Linked DNA regions of Oryctolagus cuniculus. The protein of the gene in region 2 purifies or fractionates together with the protein of the main gene of each other region. This does not show direct contact. Links are inferred from orthologs where the notes say so. Each region holds a gene or a part of one and is shown on either strand. Other genes may lie near its edges. The genes, in order: UQCC2 and UQCC1.

Region 1 (14,690 bases), on a different chromosome or scaffold from region 2:
CTGCTCAGGGCCCTGTCCCTCGCCGGCAGCTCTTTGACCTCATCTACCGGGAGGAGACGCTGTTCAACGTCATCAAGAGCGTGACCCGCAACGGCCGCTCCATCCTGCTCACGGCGCTGCTGGCGCTCATCCTGGTCTACCTCTTCTCCATCGTGGGCTTCCTCTTCCTCAAGGACGACTTCATCCTGGAGGTCGACCGGCTGCCCAGCAACCACTCCAGAGGTCTGGGGCAGGGCCTGCATGTCAGGGCCAGGACCCCTATGCTCATCCTGCGAGACTCCCTGCCAGTCTGTCCTGTGAGATTCTGGGAAGGTCTAGCTCACACCAGTCAGCTCCTGATTGGTCTAGCTCACGCCATGATTGAGAACCTTGCGGTTCTGACCCCTCAGGAGCCACTTGGTTGAGGGCTGGAGCTGCTGTCACTCATATGAAACTCAGCATTTGCAGGGGCTGCCTGGGTCCCGGGTCTGGGGGGTACAGAGGCCTCTCCCCGCCGGCAGTGGGGGCAGGCAGCACCGGGGGAGGCGGCCCAGAGGGTGTGATGCTGGAGACAGACCTGAGGGGGTGATAAGGACCCTGTCCCTGTCCTCACAGCCAGCCCCCTGGCGATGCCACACGGAGCTGCCGCGTTTGTGGGCACATGCAGCGGGGACAAGATGGACTGTGTCTCCGGGGTGTCGGTGCCTGAGGCCCTGGAAGGTGAGGGTGGGGATCAGTGGATGCGGGGGTGGGGCGGGTGCAGGGGCCAGTGGCGTGGGTCTGAGCACACTGTGCACTTGCAGAAGACGGGGAGCCGGACAGCACGGAGCGGGCCTGCGACACTCTGCTGATGTGCATCGTCACGGTCATGAACCACGGGCTGCGCAATGGAGGCGGCGTGGGCGACATCCTCCGCAAGCCCTCCAAAGACGTGAGTGCCGGGGCCCCGCCCACCCGTCGGCTTCGTGGGGACGTGAGCCCCGCCCCGCGGCCCCCTGGAGATGCCGGGGCTGGGCCCTGGCAGCCACACTCTGGCTGGGGAGGATGTGAGTCAGGCAGAGACTCCGTTGCACCGGGCGCTCCGGCTCGCAGGGCCCGCAGCGGGGAGGGCAGGGCAGGGCAGGGCAGGGCAGCTGAGTCAGCTTCCAGGGAGGCCTCCTGATCTGGCTTGGGAGCCGGCATTCCCTGAACCGCAGTCCACCCCCGGGGCCTGGGGAGTGAGGAGCCGCCTCCCTGGCCAGACAGGGTTTCTAGAATGTGTGAGGTCAGGCATCCTGCGGGTGGGGCAGGGGAGCTCGGCCCTGGCTCTTGCCCTAACTAACCAAGAGTTAGGGGCAGGGACAGGCCCGGGCCGGTAGCCCTCGTTCCCGCGCCGTGGGGCTGCACCGGCCCGTGCTGAGTCAGCTGTTTTCCGAATCCACGCTGGGGGCCTCTGGCTGCACTCTCGCTCCAGGGAGCCAGACGGGCCCACCCTGCCTTCCTCACGGCCAATGAGCTGGAGCCCCCATCGCCACAGGGCCGGGTGAACGCGGGGCCAGCCTGCCTGTCCCCTCCTTGCAGGAGTCTCTCTTCCCAGCCCGCGTGGTCTACGACCTGCTGTTCTTCTTCATCGTCATCATCATCGTGCTGAACCTCATCTTCGGCGTGATCATCGACACCTTCGCCGACCTGCGCAGCGAGAAGCAGAAGAAGGAGGAGATCCTCAAGACCACCTGCTTCATTTGCGGTGAGGCCCGGGCCCAGCCCCCAGCAGCCCCTGCGGAGCCCTGCTGAGGGGCCGCCGATGGCTGGCGCGTGTCCCCGGAACTGGGCAGAGAACGGCCCTGCCTGAGCTCGAGGAAGCGGGAGGGGGAGAGGGCCTCGGAAACCGGCCCTCTAAGCCCTGGGCTTACAGGCCTGCCGGTGGCCTCGAGGTTCTGGTTTCGGTCCCTCGCCAGCCCCCTCGCCCGGGGGACACGGCCCACAGGCAGCCCGGCGGCAGCTCTGGCCGTGCACGCCCGCAGGTCTGGAGAGGGACAAGTTTGATAACAAGACGGTGTCATTCGAGGAGCACATCAAGCTGGAGCACAACATGTGGAACTACCTGTACTTCATCGTGCTGGTCCGCGTCAAGAACAAGACCGACTACACCGGCCCCGAGAGCTACGTGGCCCAGATGATCAAGGTGCCCACGGGGCTGCCGCCTCGCTCCTCACGGGGCGGGAGGAAGCCTGCGGCGGACAAGAGCTGTCCCCTCCCTGGGGACGTCAGGAGAGTACAGGCTGGGTACCCTGACGAGGTGGCACAGCCTCCCTGCCAGCTCACCGTGGCCTGGGTCGGCCCAGGCTTCCCCGTGATGCATCTGTCAAGGGGTGGCAGAAGCTCCCCCCTCAATGACTTTTTCTTTTTTAAGATTTTTAAGAAAGATTTATTATTAGTTTATATGAAAGAGTTACACAGAGAGAGGCAGAAGCAGAGAGAGAGAGAGAGAGAGAGAGAGAGGGGTCTTCCATCCACTGGTTCGCTCCCTAATTGGCTGTAATGGCCGGAGCTGTGCCAATCTGAAGCCAGGAGCCAGGAGTTTCTTCCAGGTCTCCCATGTGGGTGCAGGAGCCCAAGGACTTGGGCCATCTTCTACTGCTTTCCCAGGCCACAGCAGAGAGCTGGATAGGAAGAGGGGCAGCCGCGACTTGAACTGGCGCCCACATAGGATGCCGACACTGCAGGTGGCGGCTTTACCTGCTGCATCACAGCGCCAGCCCCAATGACTGATTTTCCAAGTGAGGGCTTCCTGGGCCAGACTGTTCACCTCCCTGGTGGCCTTTTTCAGAATAAGAACCTGGACTGGTTCCCCCGGATGCGAGCCATGTCCCTCGTGAGCAACGAGGGTGAGGGGGAACAGAACGAGATCCGCATTCTGCAGGACAAGCTCAACTCCACCATGAAGCTGGTGTCCCACCTCACCGCCCAGCTCAACGAGCTCAAGGAGCAGGTGCGCACCCCGCCCTGGGCCAGCCCACTTTGCTCAGCCTTCCTGTCAGCCCTGGGACGTGAGTAGGTCCCGAGCTCTCCCCTACACCGAGTCCTGCCCCATGGCCCAGTGGAACTCCGGCCCGGAGGTATGGCCTCCCTGGGCTCTGCAGCCAATGGGGACCCCCTCCCCGGGGCTCCTGGGGCATGGGGACGTCAGAGGCAGCTGTGGCTGCCCGGCACACCTGCCCCGTCCTCTGCACCTGGCAGTGGCCTGGTTTCCCAGCTGCAGCCAGTCAGGGCTCTGTGATGCGCTCCCTGAGCAGCAGGGTTTGGAGCCGGCAGCCTGCAGAGGAGCAGGACGCCAGCCCTCCCGGGGAGGGGGCGGGTGGCCTGACCGGGCCTGCACCTGTCCCCGCCTAGATGACCGAGCAGCGGAAACGCAGGCAGCGCCTGGGCTTTGTGGATGTGCAGAACTGCATGAGCCGCTGAAGACGCCCGGAGGCCCTGACCAGGACGGCCAACACCGGGGGTTGTGCCCGCGGAAGCTGCCTGCTCCCCCGGGCCAGGGGGCCCAGCCAGCCAGGTGGCCTCTCAAGGCCAGGGACCCACCCAGGGTCCAGCTCCTGCCCGCCAGACCTCCCCCCACCCCACCCCACCCCAGGCTGAGGCCAGCACGGAGGGGGAGCCTCGGAGCTGGTGGTCCTGCCTTGAGCCCTCAAGTCCACTGGGACTCAGTTTACCTTAATGCCTTAGAAGTCCCGGTGACCTGCGTTCCTTCGGGCAGTGCCTGCCAGTCCCATGGCACCCCCGCGGCGTCAGCAGTGGGCTCCCCTCCTCTCCAAGCACTACATTTCGCTGCTGCTGCCTCTGGGGAGGTGGCGGCGGTGCTGTCACTAAGCGACTTTAGGGCTTAGTTATTTAACTTATTCCAAGGTGCACTGCTCAGCCATGTCGCCCAGGTGTCCTGATGACTCAAAGATGGGCAGCCTTTCCCCCAGGACCTGCCTCTTCCTGGGCCAGCCGCACGGGCTGAGCACTGCGAGCGGCTGTTTGTTGACTGCCTGTTTTTTTCTCCTTTGGGTGTATTGTTTTACAAGTCTTTTGTCTCAAGAACTAATGTTAATTGCCTTAAATAAATTAATAGAAATAAACCCAGCTCATTAAAAAGGAGTGCATGTCCTGCCTGTACTCCCCCACGGGGCTCGCCTGCGGCCCCAACACTCCTCAGGCTCACAGCGCGTGGCGACAGTTCCCACCGTCCCCTCCAGTTTATTCCACAGATTTCACAGCACACAGCCTCTTCTCTGGGCCGTGTTCCTGACGCAGGGAGCTCAGAGCGGCAAGTCTGGGGCTCCTACAAAGCCTACCCAGTCGGCAGCCAGCTGCAGCCTGAGGCCCTGCCTGTCCCTTAGCCTGGCTGGGCACGTGGGTCCTCGGGAGGCCAGAGGCTGAGCTCTGTCCTCAGTCTGCGCACATCCTCCCAGGGCCTCTGACAATGACGGGGGAGCCCGAGACTCATCCCAGGAGACACCAGGCCTCCACGGAAGGCGGGGCTCCTGGGCCTGTGCAGGAAGCACCTTGGGCAGAGGCCCCGTGACCCGCCCTGGAACCCGCGCTTCCTCCCCAGAGAGCTCCCCGTGCTGACGCCGGTCCCGGCAGCCGGCTGACACCGCTCCTCGGGCGGAAGCTTGCTTTAGTGCACGGGTTTCCGTCCTGTGGGGCAGACGCGATTCCGCAGCCGTGAGGTCGGGGTCGGGTGATTTATTGACAAGGGCAACATCAAAGGCGCCACACTTAGGTTGGTGGGCGAGATAAGGCCCGTGCCCAGGCCCTGTGCTTCTCCTCAGGGCTCTTGGAGGCAAACTTCTCCTGCAGCTTTTTCCACATGCCTTTGTTCATGTCCTTGAACTCTTCCAAGGTGTCTGCAAAACAAGACACAGGGATGGCTCAAGTCTCAGCTCTGGCTACACGGGCAGCCCTGGGGCCCGCACATCAGAGCAGCCCGCTGGCAGTGAAGGAGCCCCGCGCGCCCGAGACACTGCCCGCTCCCAGGGTCCCCGTCCTGGGCATCTAGGAAGCACGGCGCACTGCTTGTTGCCCTCTGCACACGAGTGTACAAAGCTGCACGGTGGTGTGCACCATGCGATCCACAGCCATGCGCTGCACCACAGGGGTTTAGACTTCTCAGAGTACTTCAAAAAGTTCATGGAAATACATGATACTCAAAACTCCGTGCATAGATTTCAAGATGTTTTTGCAACAAAATTAACTTTTTGAAAGTCATAGTTACACAGAGAGAGGAGAGGCAGAGAGAGAGAGGTCTTCCATCCGATGGTTCACTCCCCAATTGGACGCAACGGCCAGAGCTGCGCCGATCCGAAGCCAGGAGCCAGGAGCTTCCTCTGGGTCTCCCATGTGGGTGCAAGGGCCCAAGCACTTGGGCCATCCTGCACTGGCCCCCGCCCCAGGCCATAGCAGAGAGCTGGATCAGAAGTGGAGCAGCCGGGTGTCGAACCGGCGCCCATATGGGATGCTGGTGCTTCATGCCAGGGTGTTAACCCACTGTGCCACAGCACCAGCCCCCCCATAAATAAATATTTACAAAATTTTTTTTTTCAGCTACTTGAAAGGCAGAGCAACGAGGGGTGGAGGGAGGGAGGCAGGGAGATAGAGAAGCACTCTTCCAGCCCCTGGTTTATGTCCCAAATGCCTGCAACGGCCAGGGCTGGGCCAGGCTGAAGCCAGGAGCCTGGGACTCCATCTTAGTCTTCCAGGTGGGTGGCAGGGGCCCAAGTACTTGAGCCGCCATCTGCTACCTCCTGGGTACACTAGTAGGGTGCTGGACTGGAAGCAAAGTAGCCAGGACTTGAGCCAGGTGCTCTGATATGGTATATGGGAGCCAAAAGCAGCAGCTTAACCTGCGTCACAATGTGGCCCCAGAGCTGGGATTTGAACTCTTGCCGGTGTGGGTTTACTGCAGGCTATGCAGCTAAACAGGCATTAGGGAGGGAGGTAGACCTGGGCCTGAGTCTCCACCAATCCCCTCATCTGTAAAATGGTAAAAATGACCACCTCGAAAGTTGTGAGGGTCTGGGCCAGCGTTGTGTGGTGGTTTTAGCTGCCAGAAGTGACATCGGCATCCCCATATGGGTGCCCCTTTGTGTCCTGGCTGCTCTACTTCCAATCCAGTGCCTGGGAAAGCAGCAGAAGATGGCCCAAGTGCTTGGGCCCCTGCCACCCACATGGGAGACCCAGATGAAGCTCCTGGCTTCTGTTGCGGCCATTTGGGAAGTGAGCCAGAGTATGGAAACTCCCGGTTTCTCCATCTGTACCTCGGCCTTTCAAATAAATCTCCAGGAAAAAAGAAGTTGTGAGGGTTAAAGGAAATGCGGGCAACTTGCCTGCCCCCCACGCCCGCTGGACAGACGGTCTCTTCACTATGCAGGCAGAAGGGGCTGGGGAGAGCAGTGGTACAGGTACCCACCCACACCCAGGGATCCCTCGCCTCCACCCATCCAAAGCCAGGAGCACCTCTGCTTACCACCTGCTAAGGAAGCCTCCAGACACTGCCACGGGGCCCCTGGGGACAAAGCTGCCCCCCCGCCCGCCCCGAGGGAGCTGCTGATCTGCAGCACCCCTGAGCCCAGCAGCCGTGACAGCTGGCTGCCCTGTGTCTAAAACGTAGAACATGCTCAGGCCTGCTTTAGCGTTCATGGGCTGAGTTTCCGTCTCTTATCAAAACTCCCAGAGAACAAAAATAGCCTTTCTGAACAAAAAAAGTCACCTACGTTATTTATTAATGACATCTGCTGCCAGTGGCTCCTGGCTGAATCAGGACAGGCGCTGCCCTTCAGCCACCAGCCTGGCAACCCGCCCTGGGACTTTTCCAGAAGTCCGGGGTCCCTTATGGGGCACAAAGGCACCCCTTGGTGACGAGACCCCTGTCTGCCTCTGCCTGCAAGTCACGAGGACCCCACGCCCGGCGACACGCGGGGACTGGACTCACAGGCCCCAGAGCCTCATGCTACAAGGTGCTGCAGGTCTTTGCTTGCCCCGTCACGGGAAACACTCGAGCAGCTCACCCCACACGTTTGCAACAAAAACACAAGGCGTACTGTGAAAACCAATCATCAGCAAATTTCCTGGGGCCAGAACAAGCCACCGCACAGCCAATGGCGGGGGCCCATCTCCCAGCCTCACTGCCACCTGTCCCCTGCACACTCCAGCTTCCCGGGGGTCACAAGAGGGCAGAGGCAGGGCCTCTGAGTCGGTGTCCATGCCACTTTTAAGTCCAAACTGCTCAGAGTCTGTGGGCCCTCGCGATGAGCCTGGCCATCAGCACGCTGACTGCAGAGACCCAGGCACGGGGAGTAAACGTCTACCTTGAAAAATGCTGACAGAGCGATCCTGCCTGCCCACAACACCTTCACCCCATTCCTGGAGAGCGCTGTAATGAAAGCAGGCTCAGAGTCGACAAGAACACAGGCGACAGCCCCAGGTTCCAATCTGCGCAGAAGGTAAGAGAGTTCTAGAAGGTCAGACGCCTGCATCTTAGCCGCTGCCGGCCGCTGGAGAGACCTCCAGAACCCCAGCAGGCCAATGCCCAGGGCTGGCCCTCCCAGGAAAGGCCGGCCTATTTCTGTACACAATCTCCTTGGCAATGGGAAGGGTAATTTTCCAGCACCTGCCCGCTGCAGTTCCGGCTCCCCTGCCCCAGCCCCTCTGCTCACAATGGAGCCAGGGACGTGAGGAGGGGACCGGCCTGGCAGGGTGGGGTTTATCGAGGACTCCCACACAGACCTGGCTAAGCCGGCTAATCCACAGACCGCGTCCCCGGGGTCAGATAAGTCTCAGTCGGATATCCCTATACATGTTTTATTGAATGGCTTTTTGTTTTAATTAAAACCCTCATTGTTTATAGAGCCCCCTTAGGGCTATAAAAATAAAATTATTTTCCTTCCATCCTGATTTCAACTACTTCCATTTGGCAAATACGTATTCCCCTGTTCCCTGCTGCCCAGCCTTGAATTTGAAAGCACTAAAGATGGATTTTCTTTTTTAAATGATGCCTTTGACCTTCTCCACATTCTGTGGCCAAACAGCACGGGCCCTGCCGTGACTCCAGACTGTCCATCGAGCAGCGCTGTCTTATTAGCCAATCCCCCCCGGCCGCTCAAAGACTCATCTGCAAAGCAACCGAAAGGGCAGCTGTGCTCTCGGTACCTGTGGACAGGATCAGCTTGTACTCCTCCAGGGACAGGCCGCTGAAGCTGGTGTCTCTGGGCCGAGGGTACTGGGGCAGAGGAGAGAGGAGAGAGATTAGTTTTGCACCACACAAGCCTTGCTCTCTCACAATTCACCAGGGCCCTGGGCAGGCCCAGGCCAGGAACATGGCAAGGAGAGGAGCAGCGCCACCGTGAGGTCAGACTTGGCCTCACAAGCACCAGTCTGCCCAGGGCAGGCAGCTCCAACCTCAAAGTGGAATCCCCTCTGGGAGCCAGAGGCCAGCGTGTTCCTGACAGTTCTCCGGTGACGCCCACATGTGCTTTCCTGCGCGGCCACATGGTTAACCATCAGTATCCTCTGGACACCAAATCCACAGCTGCTCGGGTCCCTTATATAAAGTGGTATGTAGGGGCCTCCACCTGTGACAGACATCCCATATGGACACAAGTTTGAATCCCGGCTGCTCCACTTCCAATCCAGCTCCCTGCTGATGGCCTGGGAAAGCAGCCGAAGATGGGCCCCAGCACCCGCATGGGAGACTTGGAAGAAGCTCCTGGCTTCTGATGGCCTGGTCCGGCCATTGCAGCCATTTGGGGCATGAACCAGCAGATGTAAGACCTCTGTCCCTCCCTAACAAATCTTAAAAAAACAAAACAAAAACAAACAAACAAAAAAATAAATAAAGTGGTCTGTACTATTTGCATATAACTTATGCACACCCTCACGTGTAATTTAAATCACCTCCATGTAACTTACAATATCCAGCAAGTGCATGTAAATGGCTGTTACAATATATTGTTCAGGAAATAATGACCAAAAAATGTCTGCACACAGTATTTTTCCTGGATGTTTGCTCCATGGGGGCCTGACTCCATGGGCGCGGAACCTCTGGTTAAGGAGGCTGCTGTGTACGTGTGCAGTCAAGCCCAGGGAAAGCCACACTAAATGGCATCTGACAGTGACTAGCTCAGGGTCGGGGGAAGCCCCCATCTCCCCACCTCTATCACCAGCGCGGGAAGTACCCGTTCCACAGAGCGATGGGAACACGTGAGACCCAGGGCCTGTCCCATGGTCCCGTGAGTACACACCGGCATTGAAGCACAAGGCTTTTATTCTCCATTTTAACAGCCTTTGTCTAGGTGACCTCAAAGCCTCTACAGGCACCTTTGTTGGCCTGGCTGAAATTGCTGGTTACACGGCAAAGCGGGGAAGGCAGTTCTTTACAAAGCCTGGTATAATCAGGTTTCCCTCGTTCTTCCCGGCTGCCCCCGTCAGAGGGCTGGGCTATGACAGGCCGGGCCCACTCACCTTGTGTTTGTAGTAGTTGGAATGGAGCCGGGCTAAGCTCTCGTACATCTGATCACAGGCCTCGGGCTCTGCAATCTGTAAAACAAGGAGCCCCCAAAGAAGTGAGCAGAGCAGTCCTGCGCCCACGCTGCGCCTGCACCCGAGGGAGGACCACACGCAGGGAGGCACCCACACGACGCAGCTGGTATGGGCTCCCGGGCTGCTCAGCCTTGTGGGAGTGGACCCGACCCACAGCCCCCTGCAGTGAGAAATCACCTTTGGGAGCAGTGACTCCCCCTCATCGGTCCCCCACCTGCAAACAAAGCAAGTGAACCAGCGAACAATTGCCTGCTGAGCTCCTGTGACTTCCCCCGGGAGACAAAGAATCGCAGTGGTGGGAGCGTGTCCCTAGCTGGGGCAGAGCCAGGGCGTTCGGGGGCCTCGAGGCTAAGCAGTCAGTGTACACACCCGCGAGACTAAGCTGGGCTCTGAGGGCCGTGGGGTCGGGAGCAGAGAGGGCCTTCCCGGGGGACAGGCTGGTGTGTGCGAGGCGGAGGGGCAGACTGGACGGTCCGCCCGAGGGCCTGCAGGTACAGGTGGAGAGCCTGTGCTGCAGGAAGGGAGAGCTGTGGAGTTAAACTTTCAACATGAAACGGATTAAAAACATTCTTCTATGAAAGGCAAAAAATAAAAATAAAAAAAATCACGTGACCTTCCACCTGCAGTAAGCGAGGAGTTGCTGAAACAGGGCGGTATTTAAGGCGAGCGCAGTGAGCGGGTGCCCATGATGCTGACTGCGGCATGGCCCGGCTGGCAAGGGGTCCTTGCCAACGCAGGGGCACACACGCGGCCTCCGGACGCCCGAGGGGCAGCGCCCCTGCCGGCAGCATCGGCACGGAGGTGGACTTTCCCTTCCCACCGCCCCTCTGCCGTCGCTATCATTTACCCGTGGCTCCTGGCTTTTTTCTGCCTACGATTCTGAAAGCTCCCCAGAACAAGACTTTCTCTCCACGGTTTCCCCAAGAATTCAGACGGCAGATCTCTTTTCTAACTGAAATCCTCTCTCCAAGAAGGCAACGTGTAGACAAATCAGTAGATCAGCGTTTTAATAAGGCAGCTCTGCTTCTGCCTCTGTGTGTGTGTGTGTGTGTGTGTCAGAGAGCGAGCTGAGGTCCCCACGTGACAGCACGCAGACAAGGGATCATCACTGAGCTGCACTGCTGGTCCCTGCGCTCGGGCTGCGCATCACGAGCACGCCAGGTGGCCGGTGCTGGCTAACAGTGGCCAAGGGCAATGTGTGGGCAGAAGACAGGCACGAGGCTGGGGCTGGCAGGCCAGCTTCTTGGGGCACAGGCCGTCTGCACACACACTCTGGTGCAGAGGGACAGACGAGTCGCAGAGGAGGGAGCGCAGCACAGGCACAAAGCTGCGGCGGTGCCGTTCTGACCACCAAAGGTGGCTGCGTTTCCCCCGCGCGCCCTCCTCGCGCCTGTGCCTATGCGCGCTCTCTGGATGTCAGCACATCGGCTGCTCGCCCTGACACCGCTGAAGAAAGCTGTCCCACCTGCTCTCTGGTCTCTGTATCCGTCCACGCTCTCCTCCTGATCTGTCTGAGAACTGGGGCATAAACCCCCTTCAGCCCATGGTATCTGGGGGAGGGGAGACTTACAGGGACAAGGACATCCTCCCACAGGACCGAAGTTCAAACTCGAATTTGGGCCACCCAGCACAGACCCGACAGCAGCGTGCCTGACCCACAGCCCCCACAGAGGAAAAGGACCACCCACTGTAGTAACACATGTATATTTAGTCTCCTGTAATCTGGGACACTTCCGCGCTCTTTGTCTTTCATGAATTGCCACTTTTGAAGCATACTGGCCAACTCAACCATGCTTTCAAAAGCAAAGACAATAATAGCCCTGACTTGGGGGGGTGGCGTGAGGGTGAACCAGGCAAGGCCTGGACTGCTGTGGATTCTGGCCCTGGAGCCCCGACAAGTGTGCACAGGCCGTTTCTGCTATGGTTTGGGACAGCAGATGTAGTCACCTCAGGCCCCTACCTCAGAAGCTCAAAGGGGCCGGCAGCGCAGTGCAGCGGGGAAAGCCGCCTGTGACACCAGCATCTCATGTGGGCATTGCTCTGTGTCCCGGCTGCTCCACTTCTGGTCCAGCTCACTGCTGTTGGCCTGAGAAAGCAGCGGATGATGGCCCAAATAACTAGGCCCCTGCCACTCATGTGGGAGACCTGGAAGAAGCTCTTGGTTCCTGGCTTCAGCCTGGCCCAACACTGGCTGCTGCAGCTATCTTGGGGAGTTAACCAGCGGATGGAAGCTATCTCTCTGCCTCTCTCTCTCCCTCTGTAACTCTTTCTTTTTTATTTGGCAGGAAGAGTTACAGACAGTGAGAGAGAGACAGAGAGACAGAGCGAAAGGTCTTCCTTCCGCTGGTTCACTCCCCAAATGGCCGCTATGGCCGGAGCTGTGCCGATCCAAACCCAGGAGCCAGGTGCTTCCTCCTGGTCTCCCATGGGGTGCAGGGCCCAAGCACTTGGGCCATCCTCCACTGCTTTCCTGGGCCACAGCAGAGAGCTGGATTGGAAGAGGAGCAACCGGGACTAGAACTGGCGCCCATATGGGATGCCGGCGCTGCAGGCGGAGGATTAACCAAGTGAGCCAGGGCGCCAGCCCCCGTAACTCTTTGAAAATCAATTTTTAAAAATCTTAAAGAAATAAGAAAGGAAGGAAGGGAGGGAGGGAGGGAGGGAGGGAGGGAGGGAGGGAGGGAGGGAAGGGGGAGGGACTGAGAGGCAGAGGCGCCCAGGACAGCTGCGGGATGCAGGTCACATGGAGGAGGGGCTAGAGGGTGACTGCAGGGCCGGGAAGAGGGGCCTTGCGGGTGAGGGTCAGCCCAGGCCCACGGCAGGGAATGGCATTAAGGGCACCACCGTGGATCATGGTGGCTGGCAAATCTTGCCCAAGGCTTCACTTGGAACCTGACCTGCCGGCTCTCAGTGGTCACCAAGCTCTCTGTGATCAGATCACTGGGGCAGGCACTGACTCCTGGTGTCTGCCACAGGCGCCTGCTGCACCCAGCTCTGCCACCTGGACTTGTCCTCCCACCACCCTCCATCCGACCCCCTCCCCAACCAGGCTCTTAGGAGGGGAGTCCACGTCCTGACTCCCCGAGCCGCCTCCCGGGCTCCACCTCTGCAACCTCATCACACCTGCCCGGAACCCAAGCAAAGCACCCCTCCCACTTCAACTTCCCGCCCTTTCCTCCCACCATACCCGTGGGGGGGTGGGGGGGGGTAATGTCTATACGTGCATTCTTTCCCCACCCTGGCGAGGCCCGAAGCTTCGGGCCGGATGGAGGGGCACAGAGGCCCAGCGCTCCCTCCACCTCTAAAGCACCCCTCAGCATCAGAGAGGTGGCTTCCATGACGCCTGGGGCTCTCGTAACAATCGGAGGATGCAAACACCCACCAGGCCAACAAATGGTGCCCAGCCCAACTGCCTACTCTCGGTCAGAAGGCCCTCTGAGGCCATCAAAGTGGCTCAGAGAGGGTGAGGGGGCTTAAGGCAAGCCCATTTCTAGCAAGTTCTCACCGTCTAAGGTGGAGGAGGGAAGACAGAAACATGGCTGGTCCTGGGCTCCCAGTTGCCCCAACCCCAGCTCAGCAGCGGAGCACAGCCTTGCTTACTAGGCACAAGGCCATCCATGGACACACGCCTCCATCTCCCACCTCCGTCACTGACTCCAGCACAGCTTGTCCAGACGTGAAATATACAGTGTTCCCGGCGAAACGCACTCTGCATTTGCAGAAAAATCCTGATACGCAGCCTTAAATTACCTAATTTTGCATTCACACCTAATGAGATTACGGACATTTTAGGACTAATAGCAGTGCTGGGTCTGAAAAAGGCAGCAGTGGGGACGCGATGAAAAATTCAGCACCGCTCCCTAAATGTGAATAAAATAGATGTTCGACTGACAAAATGTCCTTTACGGCTCTATTTTTGCTCCTTTTGCATTTCCCCTGCTCGGTCGCCAGTAAATTTCTCTTTACCATATTAAACTTTTATACATACAAATCTACATCACTGCCACAGGCACCGATTCCGGTTTTCAAAATTGAATTTTGGGTGCTGACAGCAATTGGTACAACGGCCCCTATTCCAGTCTCACAAAGGGACGCAGAAGCACTTCTGGGAAAGGGTCTTGCAAACTGCTCTGCTAATTAAGGTGGAGCTGGCTTTGCTCCAGGAGGATCCCCGAGAAGAGGTTTTCAGGACTTGGTAATGAACTTGTGAAATGAGTTCATTCTGTTATGGCAGTCTATTCCCCTCGACTTGGAGTGCTCTCTGCCTAGGTGCTCCGGAAATGAGTCTATTCCCCTCGACTCAACTGGACATGTATTTCCGGAGCACCCAGGCAGAGCGCGCTCTGCTGGGGGCTGTGAGAAAGGCCCCGCCCCAGCTCTGGAGGAGCTGCCAATCAGGCTAGAGAGAGGAGACCCACAGGCATTAAGACACGGACCTCGCCTGGGGTGGAACAGAGCGACATGCTGCAGAGGGAGGGAGGCCCGGGACCTCGACAGGAGCGGCTGGGGCCCAGAGGAGCGGGCGGATGAGCCACGAGAGGCACAGGGAATAAGATGCTCAGGGGAGCGGGGTCCCTAAGTGGAAACCAGGGAGGGCTTCAAGGGCCTGGGAAGCCACCAGATTCTTGGCAAGCTCTGCACATGTGGGCTTTGGGTGGTGGGTGCGGTGTGCACTAAGCCCTCGAACGCAAAGAACTACTTGTATGGCAGCCAACTAGGGAGGCTGAAGTCAGGGCTCCTCTTGCAGTGGTGAGAGGCCAGGCTGGTCCCCCAGATGCCAAGGACCAGAGGACACTGAAGGTCTCACACAGTGGCCTGCCAGCAGTCTGAGGCAACAGACAGCCCCGACAGCTCTCAGAATACGGGGTGATCCGCTGGAGTCGGCCTACAGTGGATGCCCTAGGAGGAGAACCTGTTATCTTTAAACCCACAGAGATCAAGGAATATCGCTCTGGCCCCATTCAGAACTGGGAGAAAACAAGATGGAGGTGTGGGCACTTCCTCTTCCTCTTATGCGATGGTTCTCCTCCCAACACCTTTTTGGCGGTGGGTTTGAGATTATACCTAAAAATACACCACCTGTCCTTAGGTCTTTCGTCAAAAATCTGACTTCGGGGGCTCAGGTATGGGGGGTGAGCAAAACTGAG
Region 2 (15,397 bases):
TGACTGGCTTGTTTCACTTTGCATAATGGCCTCAAGTTTCATCCATGATATAGCATCTGTCTCACTCTCTACCCCCAATATTTATTTTGGAAATTTCGAGCATGTAGAAAGTTAAAGAATGAGGTGATAAACACCTGTGTGCACACCACCAGGATTCATCATTCCTCATCATTTTAATAAACCATGTGCTTTTACACTCATTTTGTGGTTACCTCCAGATTTAATGTGAGTGTCACACAGGTGTAGCTCATTCTGCTCTCCCTGGACTCACAGCACTCACCATACTGGTGTTAACTGTCACCCTGGCTGGGTGTGGATTTCTGGGTGGTGCCAATGCTTATTGTGTCCACATTTCTGTTTCCTTGCTTAGTGCTTGGCACGTGGTAGATGAGGAGATAGCAAGAGAGGAAATGCACGGAAAGGTGGGAAACTAGAGTTCAGGCTGGAGTATGAGCCTGAAGATGATAATTAAAGCCAAAAGGTAAATTAAGGTTAATTTAATCCAAAAAAGTAAGTTAAATTAGTTGCTTCGGGTTACAAGACTAGTTAAAATTGAAGTCTCTTGATTCTTGATTACAATGTCTACAGATAGAAAAAAGCAATTTAGATTGTATGACATACACATTAATTTAATGTGAGCTTTTGGGAGTCATGGGAATCAAGAAACAGCTTACATACACATCAGTTGTTACATTAGATGCATTCTTTTTTATTTTTTAGGAAGGAAGAAAGTTTATTTTGGTTTACAGTTTGGGCAAGTTCACCATCCAAGATTGGGCAGCCCTAATAGTCTGGCTTCTCTGATGGCAGAACATGTCACATCAGATGCATTTTTTTTTTTTTTTTTTTTTTTTTTTTGACAGGCTGAGTGGACAGTGAGAGAGAGAGACAGAGAGGAAGGTCTTCCTTTGCTGTTGGTTCACCCTCCAATGGCCGCTGCGGCCGGTGCACCGCGCTGATCCAATGGCAGGAGCCAGGTACTTATCCTGGTCTCCCACGGGGTGCAGGGCCCAAGTACTTGGGCCATCCTCCACTGCACTCCCGGGCCACAGCAGAGAGCTGGCCTGGAAGAGGGGCAACTGGGACAGAATCCAGCGCCCCGACCGGGACTAGAACCCGGTGTGCCTGCGCCACAAGGCGGAGGATTAGCCTAGTGAGCTGCGGTGCCGGCCCAGATGCATTCTGACTTCAGAAATCTTACAGTGAGGTTTAGAATTGAGGAGACATAACTGTCAGCGTTTATTTGTGGTCCTTACTGCAGGTGGCTCTGTTGGCTCCGCTGATTTCTTTCATCAATATTAATAAACGTGCGCTGAGTCCGCCTTGGCAGAGCCATTTTCCTGACCCTACCTGACCACAGGAATTGCCCGGGGTGCTTTCTAAACCTAACTCTTGAGACCTCTCTGAAGATTCCAGGTCAGCAGCACCCCAGGTGTCTCCCAAGAGCTGGAAAGCTTGGGGAATATACGGATTACTCGGGAAACTTGGTAAAAATATCTGGGCCCTGTCCTCCAAAGGTTCTGATTTATTTGGAACTGGTGGATGTCTGGAGATGTAAAACTTCTCCAGGTGATTTTAATGTGTCTGTGACCTGCCTGGAAGTCACAGATCCAGTGAGCCTAGGCTGGGGCCTGAGAGTCTGCACTAACAGGTGCAGGTGATATGTTCGCAGCCATTTTGCAGACTACATTTGCAGTCACAAGTTTCCAGAACTGCCTAGTACTCACCACATAAAGCTATTTTTTTTAATGATTTTATATATAGATGTAGATATAGATTTAAAAGGCCGAGTTAGAGAGAAGAGGGCGAGTGAAAGGAAGATCAATCTTCCATCTCCAAATGGCCATAACAGCCAGGGCTCGGCCAGGCCAAAGCCAGGAGCCTGGAACTGCATCCAGGTTTCCTCTCTGGGCCACAGGAACCCAAGTACTTGGGTTGTCTTCTGCTGCTTTCCCAGACGCATTAGAAGGGAGCTGGATTGGAAGTAAAGCAGCTGGGGCCCAAACCAGCACTCATATGGGAAGCTGGCATCCTGTACCACAAAACCGCTGCCCCATAATGCTAGTCCCAGACATGTAATTTAAATTAATTGGGCAAAATAATAAATACAGTTCTCCAGCCACGTTAGTCACATTTCAGGTGCTCAATAACTAAGTGACCAGTGGCTACGATATTGGCTGTGCAGGTATAAGACGTTTCCAAATCGCAGAAAGTTGTTTTGGACAGTGCTGTTCTACAGCAGCCTTTTGCTACAATCTTGTTTGGTGTTCCCTTTCCTGGACACTTTGGAACCTTCCTGGGTTTTTTGTTTTGTTTTGATGCCAGGTATAGGGAACCTTTTTTTCTGCCAAGGGCCATTTGGATATTCCAAACATCATTCACAGGCCATACAAAATTATCAGCTTAGGGGCCAGCGCTGTGGCTTAGCAGGGAAAGTTGCTGCCGTCTGCAGTGCTGGCATCTCATATGGGCACAGGTTCAAGTCCCAGCTGCTCCACTTCCGATCCAGCTCTCTGCTATGGCCTGGGAAAGCAGTGAAAGATGACCCAAGTCCTTGGGCCCTTCCACCCGCGTGGGAGACCCGTAAGAAGCTCCTAGCTCCTGCATTCGGATTTGCGCAGCTCCGGCCATTGTGGCCAATTGGGGAGTGAACCAGCAGATGGCAGACCTCTCTCTCTCTGCCTCTCCTCTCTCTGTGTAACTCTGACTTTCATGTAAAATAAATAAAATCTTTAAAAAAATTATCAGCTTAAAAACTAGCCTGCTATAGACTTATTGAAGTTCAAGTCCTGCCTGTGGTTGCCTTAGTAGGGCCAGAACGAATGATTTCATGGACCTTAAATGGTCTGCAGGCTGGTTGTTATCCATCTTTGCTCATGTGATCCAAAGTGCCCTGTGAACTTCTAGGCCACCGTGAACTGTTTCCGTTGTTACATGCCCTTTATCTCCCGTTGCCTACCTTCTTGTGGGGCTGTTCACCTCACTGCCCACCCCCCACATTCTGTGCCAGATTGAGATTCTACTGGACAATGAGATGTTGGCGGCGATAGCTGAGTCTTGGTCTGCTTTGTACCTTGGGGCCTAGTTCAGGAACTGGCACTTTGTAGGCACTCCTGTAAATGTTCAGTGAATGAGAATTGTCTGTCACTCTCCAGATCCTCCCCATTCTTTTTATTTACATCTGAAAGGCATAGAGAGACAGAGGGAGAGAAAAATACAGAGATCTTCCATCTGCTGGTTCACTCCCCAGATGCCTGCAACAGCCAGGGCTAGGACAGGCTGAAGCCAGTGCCCTACAACCTAATCCAGATCTATGTGAGAGGAAGGGACCCAAGTACTTTGAGTCATCACCTACTGCATCCCAGGATGTGCTTTAGCAGGCAACTAGATCAAAAGAAAAATGGGGACTCAAACTCAGGCCCTCTGATACAGGATGCAAGCGTCCCAAGTAGCATCTTAACTGTGGTGCCAAATACCCACCTCCAAACCCTCCCCATTCCTGAATGCCCTCTTCTCCATAAATCTTTCCCTCGCCTCTATAGGTCTCTTTTGTTTTTATTCTGAATTTTGGCACCCATCTACCATTCATCCTTTCACCTATCCATTTGGGAGGTATTTAGTGAGTGTTAACCATATGTGATGTGTGGAGAATAGTTGGTGAAAAAAACATGGTCTCTCTCGCTTCTCGGCCTTTTGGCTAAGATCAAGTGTAGTAAAACATGGTCTCTTTCCGACTGGAGCTTGCCTTCTAACTGAGAGGTAGATGGTGAACAAGTAAACAAGCAAATAAATAACTAGTTGCAAAAAGCATGCAGTGATAGAGTGACAGAGAAAGGCAGCATAGACTCAAGTCTGAGGGCTGGAGAGGCAGCCATGGACAAATCATGTGGAATCCTGCTCTGCTGTTTGGCATTTGTTCCTTCTTGTTTATTGTTGCTGTTGGATGTGCTTTGTCCCTTCTGCTGGACTGCAAACTCCCTGAGAGCTGACACCATGATTCTGTGTTCTTAGCATCATGCTAAGCACATAGTGGTGTCAAATCAGTTGTCACGAGTGAAACTCTGCCGCTAAGCCCGCAGGACATTCCTTCCTGCTTGCCAGCAGTCTCTGTACACCTCCATGTCTGCCATTTCCTGAAGGCTGCTTGCTCTCTGTGCTTGTGAGGGGAAGCAGGCAGGCACCCTCTTAGACAGTGAGAACATTGCTGTGCAATTAAGTGTTTGGCTGCTAGATTTCCTCTCCTCCTCTGCTTCCTTAGTTTAAACTGGCACTCTCAGCCGATCTCCATTTGTTCTCACTGACTTCCGAGCATGCTGGAGGAAAGAAAGCCCCTCTATGCCAGGTGCTGTGTTCTGACCGGAACTGCCCAGGCACGTGTGCCCCCCCCCCCCCATTAGAAGCTGGTCTAGTTCTACTACCAGTAGACTGGATAACCTGTAAGCTCAGTGTTCATACCTTTTAAATGGGGATGATAATGTTTGTCCTGCCCGGTGCACACAGTCATTAGGAATGGGTTTGTGAGGAGACCTGACAGCCTGGGGCAGCCAGTTTGCCACCACTGTTAAGGAGCCTGCGTCAGCCTTTTCTTCTGACTGCCCAGGAACTCCTGATTGATGATTTGCCCCTCCTTGGCCATCTCATCTGCCACCAAGCAGCAGGCCTTGGTGCCCAGGCTTTTCCTGACCCAGGCTCTGCTCATCCTCCGAGTTCTCAGGACACCTGCTCCTGTTGGCGCTCCCATTCCTTCCCATGGCGTGCGTACGTGTGGGTCACTGCCAGCAGCATCTGGCACGCCCAGGGCACTGCAGACACAGGCAGATTGTTGTGTTAGCAAAGAGCTGGGGAGTGGTGATGTGCCTGAGCTTGTCCTGGCCCCTATCGCCACCTGCCAGAAGACGGCTTTCCTGACTCAGCCCGCAGGCCAGGGCGCTCTGGAGCTGGGGCGACTGTAGGAGTGTTCAATAGAGGGCATTTGGAGCAGGTGGAATGTTTTCCACCCACCTGTCAGCACTCCACATGGACATGGCCCTTCCTGACTGCAGGCCTAGAGCCAGACCTCACATACCACAGGGCCCCAGAGGCCAGACCACAGTGTAACACGGGTAAATGATCCTGGGTCTTTGAGTAATGTTTACCACTCACAGAGCCTTTGATGGCCATTATCTCTTAGTTCTAACAGCTCTGTGGGGGGGCGTATTATTATACTTATTTAACACGTGAGACACTGAGGCTCAGAAGAGGGTTAATAGCTTTTCCAAGGCCATGTGGTCATCAGGTGACAGCTGCCAGAAGTTGGCATTTGAACTCAGAGGGTCTGGCTCCCAGATCCTGCTGTTGTTTTGGCTATATCCACAGCTGCCTGCCATGCATACTTCTTATCTTTGATTCAACATGTTACCCCTAACAAAACACCTTCATGTTATCTTATTTTTGTGAGTTAAGGATGTTGTAAGTAGAGCAAGTATTTTCATCCCTTTTTAATAACTGAGAAGGCTAAGACACAGGTTTACTGAATTGTCACTGTCACTGAACTTGGCAGTGGCAGAACTAGGATTTGATCTGATCCTTGACCTCCAAGTCAGCACTTGGGTTCCACACACTGACTTGGCACCAGGACAAGGCAGCTCCTCAACTTTTCCCTTCAAGCACCCTCGCTCCAGGGAACAAGACCCTCACCTCTCCTTCCCTAGAGGTCCAAGTTAGAAAATGGCCCTGGCCTGTGGCTGAGGTTCTAGTGAATCTCTTTGATATTTGGGCTTCCCAACAGAGGTCTCCCCTGTGCCAGGAGAGATTCTCTGTGATCCTCTTAGGCTCATGGCAGACCTGGTGAACAGCATAGCCTGGACCAGCCGTTTCCAGCCCAGGGTTGGGTAACTGAAGACAAGTACCCACTTCTTCCCCATTGTAGATTTGTGCCTTTGGACCAAGCATAAAGATGCAGTCCAGGGGCCGGCGCCTGCAGTGCCAGCATCCTATATGGGCACCGGTTCAAGTCAGCTGTTCCACTTCCAATCTGGCTCTCTGCTGTGGCCTGGGAAAGCAGTAGAAGATGGCCCAAGTCTTTGGGCCCCTGCATCCACGTGAGAGACCTGGAAGAAGCTCCTGGCTCCTGGCTTCAGATTGGCGCAGCTCCAGCTGTTGCAGCCAAATGGGGAATGAACCAGTGGATGAAAGACCTCTCTCTCTGCCTCTCCTTCTCTCTATGTGTAACTCTGACTTTCAAATAAATAAAAAAAATTTTTAAAGATTTATTTATTTATTCAAAAGGCAGAGTTACAGAGAGAAGTAGAGCCAGAGAGAGGTCTTCCATCTGCTGATTCACTCCCCAGATGACCGCAGTGGCCAGAGCTGAGCTGAACCACCACAGTGCCAGCCCGGATAAATAAATCTTTAAAAAAACAAAAAGATGTTTTTTGCCTCCCTCCATGTCCTGTGGACACCAGCAGGAGCAGCTGTGCTCTTCCTAGCCTCTCAAGTGTGGAACAGTGGGAGCTGTGCCCAGGACGGTCCACTAGACACATGTCCCAGCTGTGCATCCCCTTACCTCTGGGTCCCGTGTTCTTCCCGTGTCTGTTAAATGAAGGGGCTGCACAAGGTGTGCTCATGGGAGCCCCTCCAGCTCTGTGGTGTCGCTGTCCCATTCCTGTCTCAGAGTCTGCGAGGTCCTCCTGAGCCAGTTGTGTGATGGCCAGCTTGCTCACAGTGTCCCGGCTTTGGTGTCACGCCTGTGGTACTCCTCACTCAGGAAACAAGTTGTTGTGCTGTGTGTTCCAGGGGATCCTTTCAGATGATCATGGGTTGGCTGCTGCTCTCTGGAGAACCTTCTTCAATCAGAAGTGTGAAGACCCTCGGCAGCTTGAATTGCTGGTGGAATATGTGAGGAAACAGGTGTGTGTCCTGCCCCTCCCCTCCAGGGCCTGTGGAAAGCGGGTGCTCCCTGAGTCTGTGGACGCTGGACGATCAGGATCATGTGAGGTTGAGTTAGCAGGGGCCTGTCTGAGGGAACTTTGACCACATCACTTAAGCAGCAGGCATCTTCTGTGTGGCCAGCCATGAACTAGGCAGGGGGCAGGGAATGAGAGTGACTGAGAGAGAAGGCAGTGAGTAACCTCTTGCTTTCAGAAACGGGAAGTCACTCAGTCACTGCACATCTCCTTGTCTGCTGTGTGCCAGGTTCCATGCTAGATACTGCCCCATGGAGTCCTGAAAGAACCGGGCATTGGGTATAGAGGGTGTAGTGACCGCTGTGTCCGGATTCCTGTCCTGCTCCTGATTTCTAGTGGAACTGGGCTGCAGGCAGTGTTCCACAGATACCCCCAGCCTCTTCCCACAGTCAAGCAAAGTCCCCACTTCAGTTCCTCACCCCTTTGGCAGCATCAGAGCTCTCGGAGAAAAGTTTCACAGTAAAGACTGCTTACCTCTACAGCCTTCCTTGAACCCATGGAGAAGTAACTCCATGATCCTGCTCCCAGGGCCCACATTGAAGAGAACTCATACTTTATGGATGAGTGGGCTGAGTGATAGGGACAAGGAATGTGGAGGCCTTCCCAGGATCTCCAGTGAGTCAGCTGCACAGCTGGCCTCGGACCCCAAGCCAGGTGATCGACGTGGCCACTGGAGACCTCAGCTGCCAACAGACAGCTCATCAGCTCAGCTGTCCCATGAGTCACGCCTTTGCTTCCCGGGCCTAGCTAGGAAGGGGCTTGTGCCATAGTTGTCCCTTGTTCACCTGTATCCACGGCCTTCAAATCTCAACAGCAGGAAAGGGAAGGTCAGACCCCAGCTCTTGAGGAGAAGACTCGGACCGTCGTCCTGGCTATGGCCAGTTGGCTACCAGAAAAGCCGTATCCTGGGGCTCTTCAGACCTAGAGGGTAAAGAACCCCGGAAGCCAGGACTTTGTTTGACCATTCTTCAAATCTGCCCAAGTCCGGGAGATAGCACCATGGCCAGAGGGCCCCACGCACAGGGCATCCTGAGCCTGGCACTGTTGCCTGGACTCAGTCTCGGAAAGGAGCAGCAGTTGGCAAAGCACGTGCTGTGTTTTCTGAGTGCTCCACTCAGGTTTCCATCTGCCATGGTGGGCTTGTGCCAGAGTCTGACAGGGCACAGCTGGGACCCCTCTGAAGACCCTAAAGAAAGGGGCTACCACAACCAGTGTCCCTGTAAGGAGGCCCGGACTTGTGGCACCAGTGAGAACTGGGGAGTAGAAAACAGCGATGGGCCTCTTAGGGATGCCAGAAGCTTCGATGGGAACTCAGTTCTGTCATCAATCCTTTGAACACCTGCTGTGCCAGTCGCTGTGGTAGGAAAGGGGAGATTACTAAGGCTGGCACTGCCCCTGAGGAGCCAGCTCATGGTTTGGTGAGGAAGACGGCAGGGAGAGGTTCCTGCTGACCCCTGGACTAGGGAGGACTGGGGAGGACTGGGGAGGACTGGGGAGGACTGTAGTTCTGCACTGTTGTGTGCTGCTCGGTATGTTCAATGGGCCAAGACCCAGTCAGAGAATATGTTGAGTTCTCAACCCAGGAGGTGGGGAAAGTGGTGGCATTCAGCACAGAAATGGAGCAGTTGGACGGCGGAGTGGGCTTTGGAGAAGATGACAGTTTAGTTGAGTTTCCTTCCTGGGCGGAGAGCAGGGCATGTGGAAATCTAGACCTGAGCTATGTGAGAGGCCGGAGCGGTGTTCAAGGGTCAACAGCCTGAAGTTGAAGCATCAGGACCAGGAATTCCTGGAAGAAGGGGGTGACCCAAGGCTCAAGGTAGAGCTTCTAGTTCCCCTCCCTGCTCCCCCAAATCAAGGCTCATCTTTCTCAATCAGGTGCTGACTTGAGCTCTGATCAGCTCTCACCCTGGATTTTGCCCTTCTGCTTGCAGGCATTTCTCCTTGTGCTGCCCTCCTTCCCTGCAGGCTCCTGGGAGTCCTCCAGAAATGGTCTCCGGAGACCCAGCCCTTGTTCACTCCCTGGCCTCTTGCAGAGCCACCTGAGCCCACTTCCTGAGCTGCTCTCCTTCCCCTCCATCCACAAGTGCCTCCCTCCATAGAGAGCATCTGTACTGAGATTCCTAGGGACAGCGTCCAGGGGTCCAGCATTGCCCAGGGCAGTGGCACCCGGAGCTCACCAACTGTGTGCCCAGAGTCTGAAGGCTGAAGACAGCCCAGAGGTCCTGAATGGTGTCTCCAGATGTCAGAGCAGCTGTCAGTTTGGGGAGCAGGAGGGGACAACATTGGGTGGCCCCAGTTCTGGAGGGGACACTGAGGCTCGGAGGGGAGAGCTGCCAGGCAGCAGAAGAGCTCCGGGACTGCCGCCGTCTCGATGGCAGAGCTGTTCACGGGGATGGGCCCTCCCGGCCGTCCTGGAAGCGGGGCACTGGGCGCTGACCAGCATCAGGGCCGCTGGAGGACAGCGGAGGTGTACAAAGTAGGAAAACTTTCGAGTGAGTAGTGCTGTGCGCATGCGGTACTGTACCTCTCCTTGAGTCCCCTCTATGAGACAGGGAACTAAATATCAGAGAGGAAGTGGCCTCCTTGGGAACACCACCAAGGAGGGGTAGAATTGGGATTTGTTGTTGTTGTTGCCGCGCTGGGTGGGCGTAGACAGGATGCCTTCTGTGAGTCACAAGCCCTGACTTCCTGCTGCAGGAGCTCTCTCGGGCGGGCCTACGGTGGATGTCCTTGGTGGGTGTGTGGTACGAGATGCTCCAAAACCTTCCCAGTGAGCTTCCCCGGGACTTCTCTCGCCAAATCTTAGTGAAATAACCTGGGAGACCAGAAACCCCTGGTTGGGAGCTAGCACGGCCAGAAGTCCCCTCGTGTCCTCTTCCCTCTCTCACTCGGGGAGGCTGGTTCCTCGTGCCACCTCACATTTGTCCTGTCATTGTCTCTTCCTCTGTTCCCTGCTCTCTCCATGCAGATGCAGTACCTGGACTCCATGAATGGTGAAGACCTGCTTCTGACAGGGGAGGTGAGCTGGCGCCCTCTAGTGGAGAAGAATCCTCAGAGCATCCTGAAGCCCCTTTCGCCCACGTACAATGACGAGGGTCTTTGACACACTGCTCCTCCCGGACTTTTGGCCAGCTGGCTTTGAAGAACTGCCAGGAGAGAAGTGACTGTTGAGCCCAGGACCCTGCAGAGAATGGCCTGAACTGACCTGTGAACAGCCTCTGTCAAACACCTGGCCCTTCTTGTGTTGCATCTCCTCTTACTGTGCCCAGGAGTCTGTTCTGGTGGGGGGCAGCCCTGGGAGAATGCCCAGCTTTTCCTCAGGAGAAGCTCCAAGCAGGAGCTCCCCGAGGGCATACCCCCCATGTTCTTTCAGCAGCCACGTGTGGTTGGCAGCTTTTCCAAAGGCTCAGGAAGGGACAGGTTAGAAAGGGGACACCCCACTGCGGGCCACTGTGGCCTAGGAGCGATTTGTAACGCTGCCAACTCAAGATGGATAACCATGTTGTGTCCCTTAGCTCTGGGCCATGGGGTTGAGCCGGCCATTAAAAGAAACAGAGACTTATCTCCGCCAGGCTCTTCTTTATTCTAAGGTCTTTTAGAAACTTCGTGGCTGGTGGATGTCATAAGCCACTCTGCCCAGCTCCGTTAGAACCAGGGTGAGGGGAGAGGTCAGGAGAGTGTGCCGCAGCTTGCCTGCAGGACATGGACGTGGGCCAGTGCCTGCAAGCCAGTCCTCCGGGATGCAGGAGCCTCAGAGGGCCGAGGGGCTTGGCCCATCCTGGGTCATTTGGAAAGAGGCCTCGAGAACAAAGGTCCCTTTGTCACCCCATGAACTGGGTGAGGAGCGTGCGTCTTTCCTGTCTTGGCCTCCCCTTCTGGGAGATGGTAGAGAAAAGAGATCATTCGTCCCCGCGTTCCACCTCCTCCCCACTTCCGGAGCCACCTTGGGCTGAGCTCTCCACACCAGTCCCCTCCTCCCTCTTGTGTGGGTCATGTCTTGGGGGACTTTCTTAAATCGAAGAAAGGGGCGGGGAACCGTATTGCCCCTCCCTCCCCCGTCAAACTTCCTTCATTTAACTTGCTATAAAATGAGTCATATAAAGAAACTCTATATGGGTGAGGTATATCCCACTTCTGTGAAAACATTACAAATCATACCGCCTTCTCTCAGTTTATTTAAGAAGCTTTTGTTGCGCACAGAGCTCTAGAGTGAAGCCTCTGTGTGTGTGAGATAATAACACCTTGTAACTCATTACAGCTGGGCACTATTTACATAAACCAGAGCTGAGCCAGGCAGGAATTTGCTGATTAATTTATTTTTAATGGAGTGAAGTATACCATGCACCAAAATAAACTTTACTGTGTGTACCTAACTGCTCCTGGAATGGATGGAAAAATTAATGGAACAGATTTTGGCTCCCAACTCTACACATTAATTCATATATAAAAGTTATTTGAGCGTTAACCCATTTGCTGCCCAGGGCAGCTCCCCAGCCACAGATTCCAGCCCACAGCCCCAGTTCAGCTACCGGGCTTGCCGGGGAATCCTGGAGCCTCAGATGGGGAAGGAACCGTGATGGTTGTTGGGCCCGCTCCCGCTCCAGAGCTTCACTCCCCTTCTTAGTTGGCCCCTATCCGCGCTGGCCCCCAGTGGGTCCTTCCAGCAACACGTAGATGGTCCCTGCCTGCAGAGCCTGTCCTCATCAAACACAGTGACTCGTAAGATGGAGCCACGCGTGAGGGCCACGTTGGCCCTGCCATGTCTGTGGTGTCCCATAGTCCTCCCTTCCTGGCCATCAGCATCTTTCACTGACTCTGCCAGTCCTCCCCCTCCCCCCCAAGATACATTCCATGTTCCTTCAACACCACCAGGCTCTTAGTTGGATCCCCTACCTCCATGCCAGCCTGTCGTTAGGAGACCGAACCACTTGGGGTTACCTGGAGAGACTACTTAGTGTTTCCTCTGCCTGCAGCGCTCATCCCTCCCTTTCTAACTAGAGACGTCCAGGCTTCCTCAAGTAGCTCCACTCGAGCCCTCGCCAGGCACGTGCACGCTGTCCGTGCTGCTCCCTGCGGCCAGCGAGCTGCCGCCGCACAGCAAACACAGTGCTGCTCTCCTTTGTTTTTGCCGTGCTTGGCAGAGTGCTGGGCTCAGTGCATACTTCGGTAAGTGAAGGAGCAAATAAGTGATTAAATCTTCAGTCATTATCAGTGGGAGTCCAGCCACAAAGCCCCTTTCTGGACTCTTGTCAGTCTGACCTACAGGTCGACGGTTTGAACAATGATGCTTAGGTATTAAGTACTTCTTTTTACTTTAGTATAGGAATCAAACACAAAAGTTCTTTCCATAACTGTTTTCTTTCTTTTCCTTTTTTTATTCTTTTGAAGATGTGTTTTATTTGAAAGGCAGAGTTGCAGAGAGAGAGGAAGAGAGATAGAGAGAGATCTTCTATCTGCTGGTTCACTCCTAAAATGGCCACAGTGGCCAGGGCTGGGCCAGGCCAAAGCCAGGAGCTGGATCTGAAGTGGAGAAGCCAGGACTTGAAACAGCGCCCATATGGAATGCTGACATTGCAGGCAGTGGCTTAACCCGTTATACCACAACACTGGCCCCAACTAAGTGTTTTTCTAATGTGAGTTGTTATTATACAAAACAAGTGAAGGGTATGATTACTTGTCCTCAGGGAGATTGCGCTTTAGGAACAATTACGTCATTTATTTGTACTCTCTGTACTTCCAGAAAGTATCATAGCAAACAAAAAGATAGTTATAATAAAACTGTAAACTATTAACATTTAAAAAGTAAGATGCAAGTATTGGGAGGGAAGAGAGGAAAAATGATGTTAGAAAACCTAGGGACTAGCACGGCGGTGTAGCAGGTAGAGCCACCACCTGCAGTGCTGGCATCCCATATGGGCGCTGGTTCAAGTCCTGGCTCCTCCACTTCCATTCCAGCTCTCTGCTGTGGCCTGGGAAAGCAGTAGAAAATGGCCTGAGTCCTTGGGCCCCTGCACCCATGTGGGAGACCTGGAAGCAGCACCTGGCTTTGGATCAGTGCAGCTCCAGCCACTGTGGCCAATTGGGGAGTGAACCAGCAGATGGAAGATCTCTATCTCTCCTCCTCTCTCTATCTCTCCTCCTCTCCCTCTCCCTCTCCCTTTCCTTCTCTCCGTGTAACTCTGACTTTCAAGTAAATAAATAATAAATAAATCTTTAAAAAGAAAACCTAGGTTGCAAATAGATTTTTTGGGATATTTTATAAAACATTTTAAATGGGCCGGCGCCGCGGCTCACTAGGCTAATCCTCCGCCTTGCGGCGCCGGCACACCGGGTTCTAGTCCCGGTTGGGGTGCCGGATTCTGTCCCGGTTGCCCCTCTTCCAGGCCAGCTCTCTGCTGTGGCCCGGGAGTGCAGTGGAGGATGGCCCAAGTGCTTGGGCCCTGCACCCCATGGGAGACCAGGAAAAGCACCTGGCTCCTGGCTCCTGCCATCGGATCAGTGCGGTGCGCCGGCCGCAGCGCGCCGGCCGCGGCGGCCATTGGAGGGTGACCCAACGGCAAAGGAAGACCTTTCTCTCTGTCTCTCTCTCTCACTGTCCACTCTGCCTGTCAAAAAAAATAAAAAAGAAAAATAAAAAAGAAAAGAAAAAAAAAACATTTTAAATGTGTTGTCTCACGACAGTTCCATAAAGTAAGAATTTTTTTATTCCATTTATTATTATATTTATTATTTTATTACTATATTTATTATAGTTTTTATTATCCCTTTTCCACAAGTGAGGAAACTAAGGCCCAGAGAGGCCTAAGAAGTGATCCAGAGTCAGAGGAGCTGAGTCCCAGCCCAGGTCTCTGACCCCAGGACCCTTGCTCTTTCCCCATACCACACTGCCACCTTCAGGTCAGCAAGGAGATCTGCAATTGAGTGTAAAACCTTGCTCTACGCTTCCTGGCAGCCAGGAAGGTGAAAAAGAAAACCCTTGTGATTACGTAGTTCCCATTTTCACATAAATGGAAGTAGAGTCATCCCTCAGTGTTCAGGGAGCGGGGAGGAGGGTGTGTGTGGTTCTAGGACGCCTCCCCCCACGGACACCCAAATCCCAGGATGCTCAAGTCCTGCATGTAAAATGCCATGGTGTTTGCATATAACCTATGCATACCCCACCCCTGTTCTTTAAATCATCTCTAGATACTTTCAGTGTGTAATGCAATGTAAATACTACGTGAGTAGTGTCACAGGGAATGACAAAAAAAACATCGACATTTAGTGCAGGTGCACTTTCCTAACTTTCTCATCTGTGGTTGGTTGAACCCATGGATACAGAGGTTTAATCGCATATTTACTCACTCGAGGAAGCAAATAGGGGCAGGCATTGTGGTGCTGCGGGTTAAGCTGCCATTTGGGACACCCGCATCCCATATCGGAGTGCCTTGTTCTGAGTCTGATGCAACTTCTTGCTAATGCTCCTTGGGAGGAGGCAGATGATAGCCCAAATGCTTGGGTTCCTGCTACCCTTGTGGCAGACCCAGATGGAGCTCCTGGCTTCTGGCTTTGGCCTGCCCTAGCCCTAGCTGTTGCAGGCATTTGAATAGTGAACCAGTGAGTGAAAGATCTGTCTCTTCCTCTCTGTTACACTCTTTTTAAAAGAGGAAATATGGGCACCTTCAGTGCCGACATCCCATATGAGCGCCGGTTTCAATCCCGGCTGCTCCACTTCCAATCCAGCTCTCCTATGGCCTGGGAAAACAGGAGAAAATGGCCCAAGTCCTTGGGCCCCTGCACCCCGGAAGGACTCCTGGCTTTAGATCTGCGCAGCTCTGGCCATTGCGGCCAATTGAAGAGTGAACCAGCGGATGGGAGACCTCTCTCTCTCTCTCCCTCTCCTTCTCTATGTTAACTCTGTCAAATAACTAAATCTTTAAAAAAAAAAAGGAAATATGTTTTTCTTAGTTTTCATTTTTTAATAAAGATTTATTTTGAAAGTGTTACGGGGCAGGGGCATGGGGGAGCTGAGAGAGAGATCATCCATATGCTTGTTCATTCCCCAAAAGGCCCCAAGGGCCGGGGCTGGGCCAGGCAGATGCCAGGAGTTTCTTCCAGGTCTCCCACATGGGTGGCAGGGGCCCAAGGACTTCAACCACTATCCGCTGCTTTCCCAGGCCATCAGCAGGAAGCTGGATCAGAAATGGAGCAGCCGGACAGAAAGCAGTGCACATATGGGATGCTGGTTTTGCAGAGGGTGACTTAACCCGCCATGCCACAACACTGGCCCCTTTCTTAATTTCTAGAGGAAACTATTATAGAGGTGTTAAATAAACATTTTAAATAAACTTTCAGCTTCATTTTTAAATTTTTTTTTGACAGGCAGAGTGGACAGTGAGAGAGAGAGAGACAGAGACAGACAGAGAGAAAGGTCTTCCTTTGCCATTGGTTCACCTTTCAATGGCCGCCGCGGG

What was found.
Region 1: the proteins of UQCC1 (region 2) and UQCC2 purify together in Homo sapiens (co-immunoprecipitation; 3 studies listed by BioGRID and IntAct, counting the BioPlex papers as one, with this or other methods). This does not show direct contact. The link is inferred for Oryctolagus cuniculus from reciprocal best matches to the Homo sapiens genes UQCC1 and UQCC2.

The regions. Positions count from the first base shown.
Region 1 is NC_091436.1:135,510,702-135,525,391, reverse strand, and holds the end of UQCC2 (ubiquinol-cytochrome c reductase complex assembly factor 2), read right to left. Parts: intron 9,541-14,690; coding exon 9,466-9,540; intron 8,225-9,465; coding exon 8,155-8,224; intron 4,854-8,154; coding exon 4,726-4,853; 3' UTR 4,678-4,725; downstream 1-4,677. Other genes in the region: inositol 1,4,5-trisphosphate-gated calcium channel ITPR3, read left to right, coding at 30-222, 595-699, 783-910, 1,540-1,705, 1,983-2,143, 2,789-2,950, 3,352-3,420.
Region 2 is NC_091442.1:22,867,061-22,882,457, forward strand, and holds the end of UQCC1 (ubiquinol-cytochrome c reductase complex assembly factor 1), read left to right. Parts: intron 1-6,774; coding exon 6,775-6,888; intron 6,889-9,912; coding exon 9,913-10,047; 3' UTR 10,048-11,317; downstream 11,318-15,397. UniProt on the Homo sapiens protein: Required for the assembly of the ubiquinol-cytochrome c reductase complex (mitochondrial respiratory chain complex III or cytochrome b-c1 complex). Involved in cytochrome b translation and/or stability.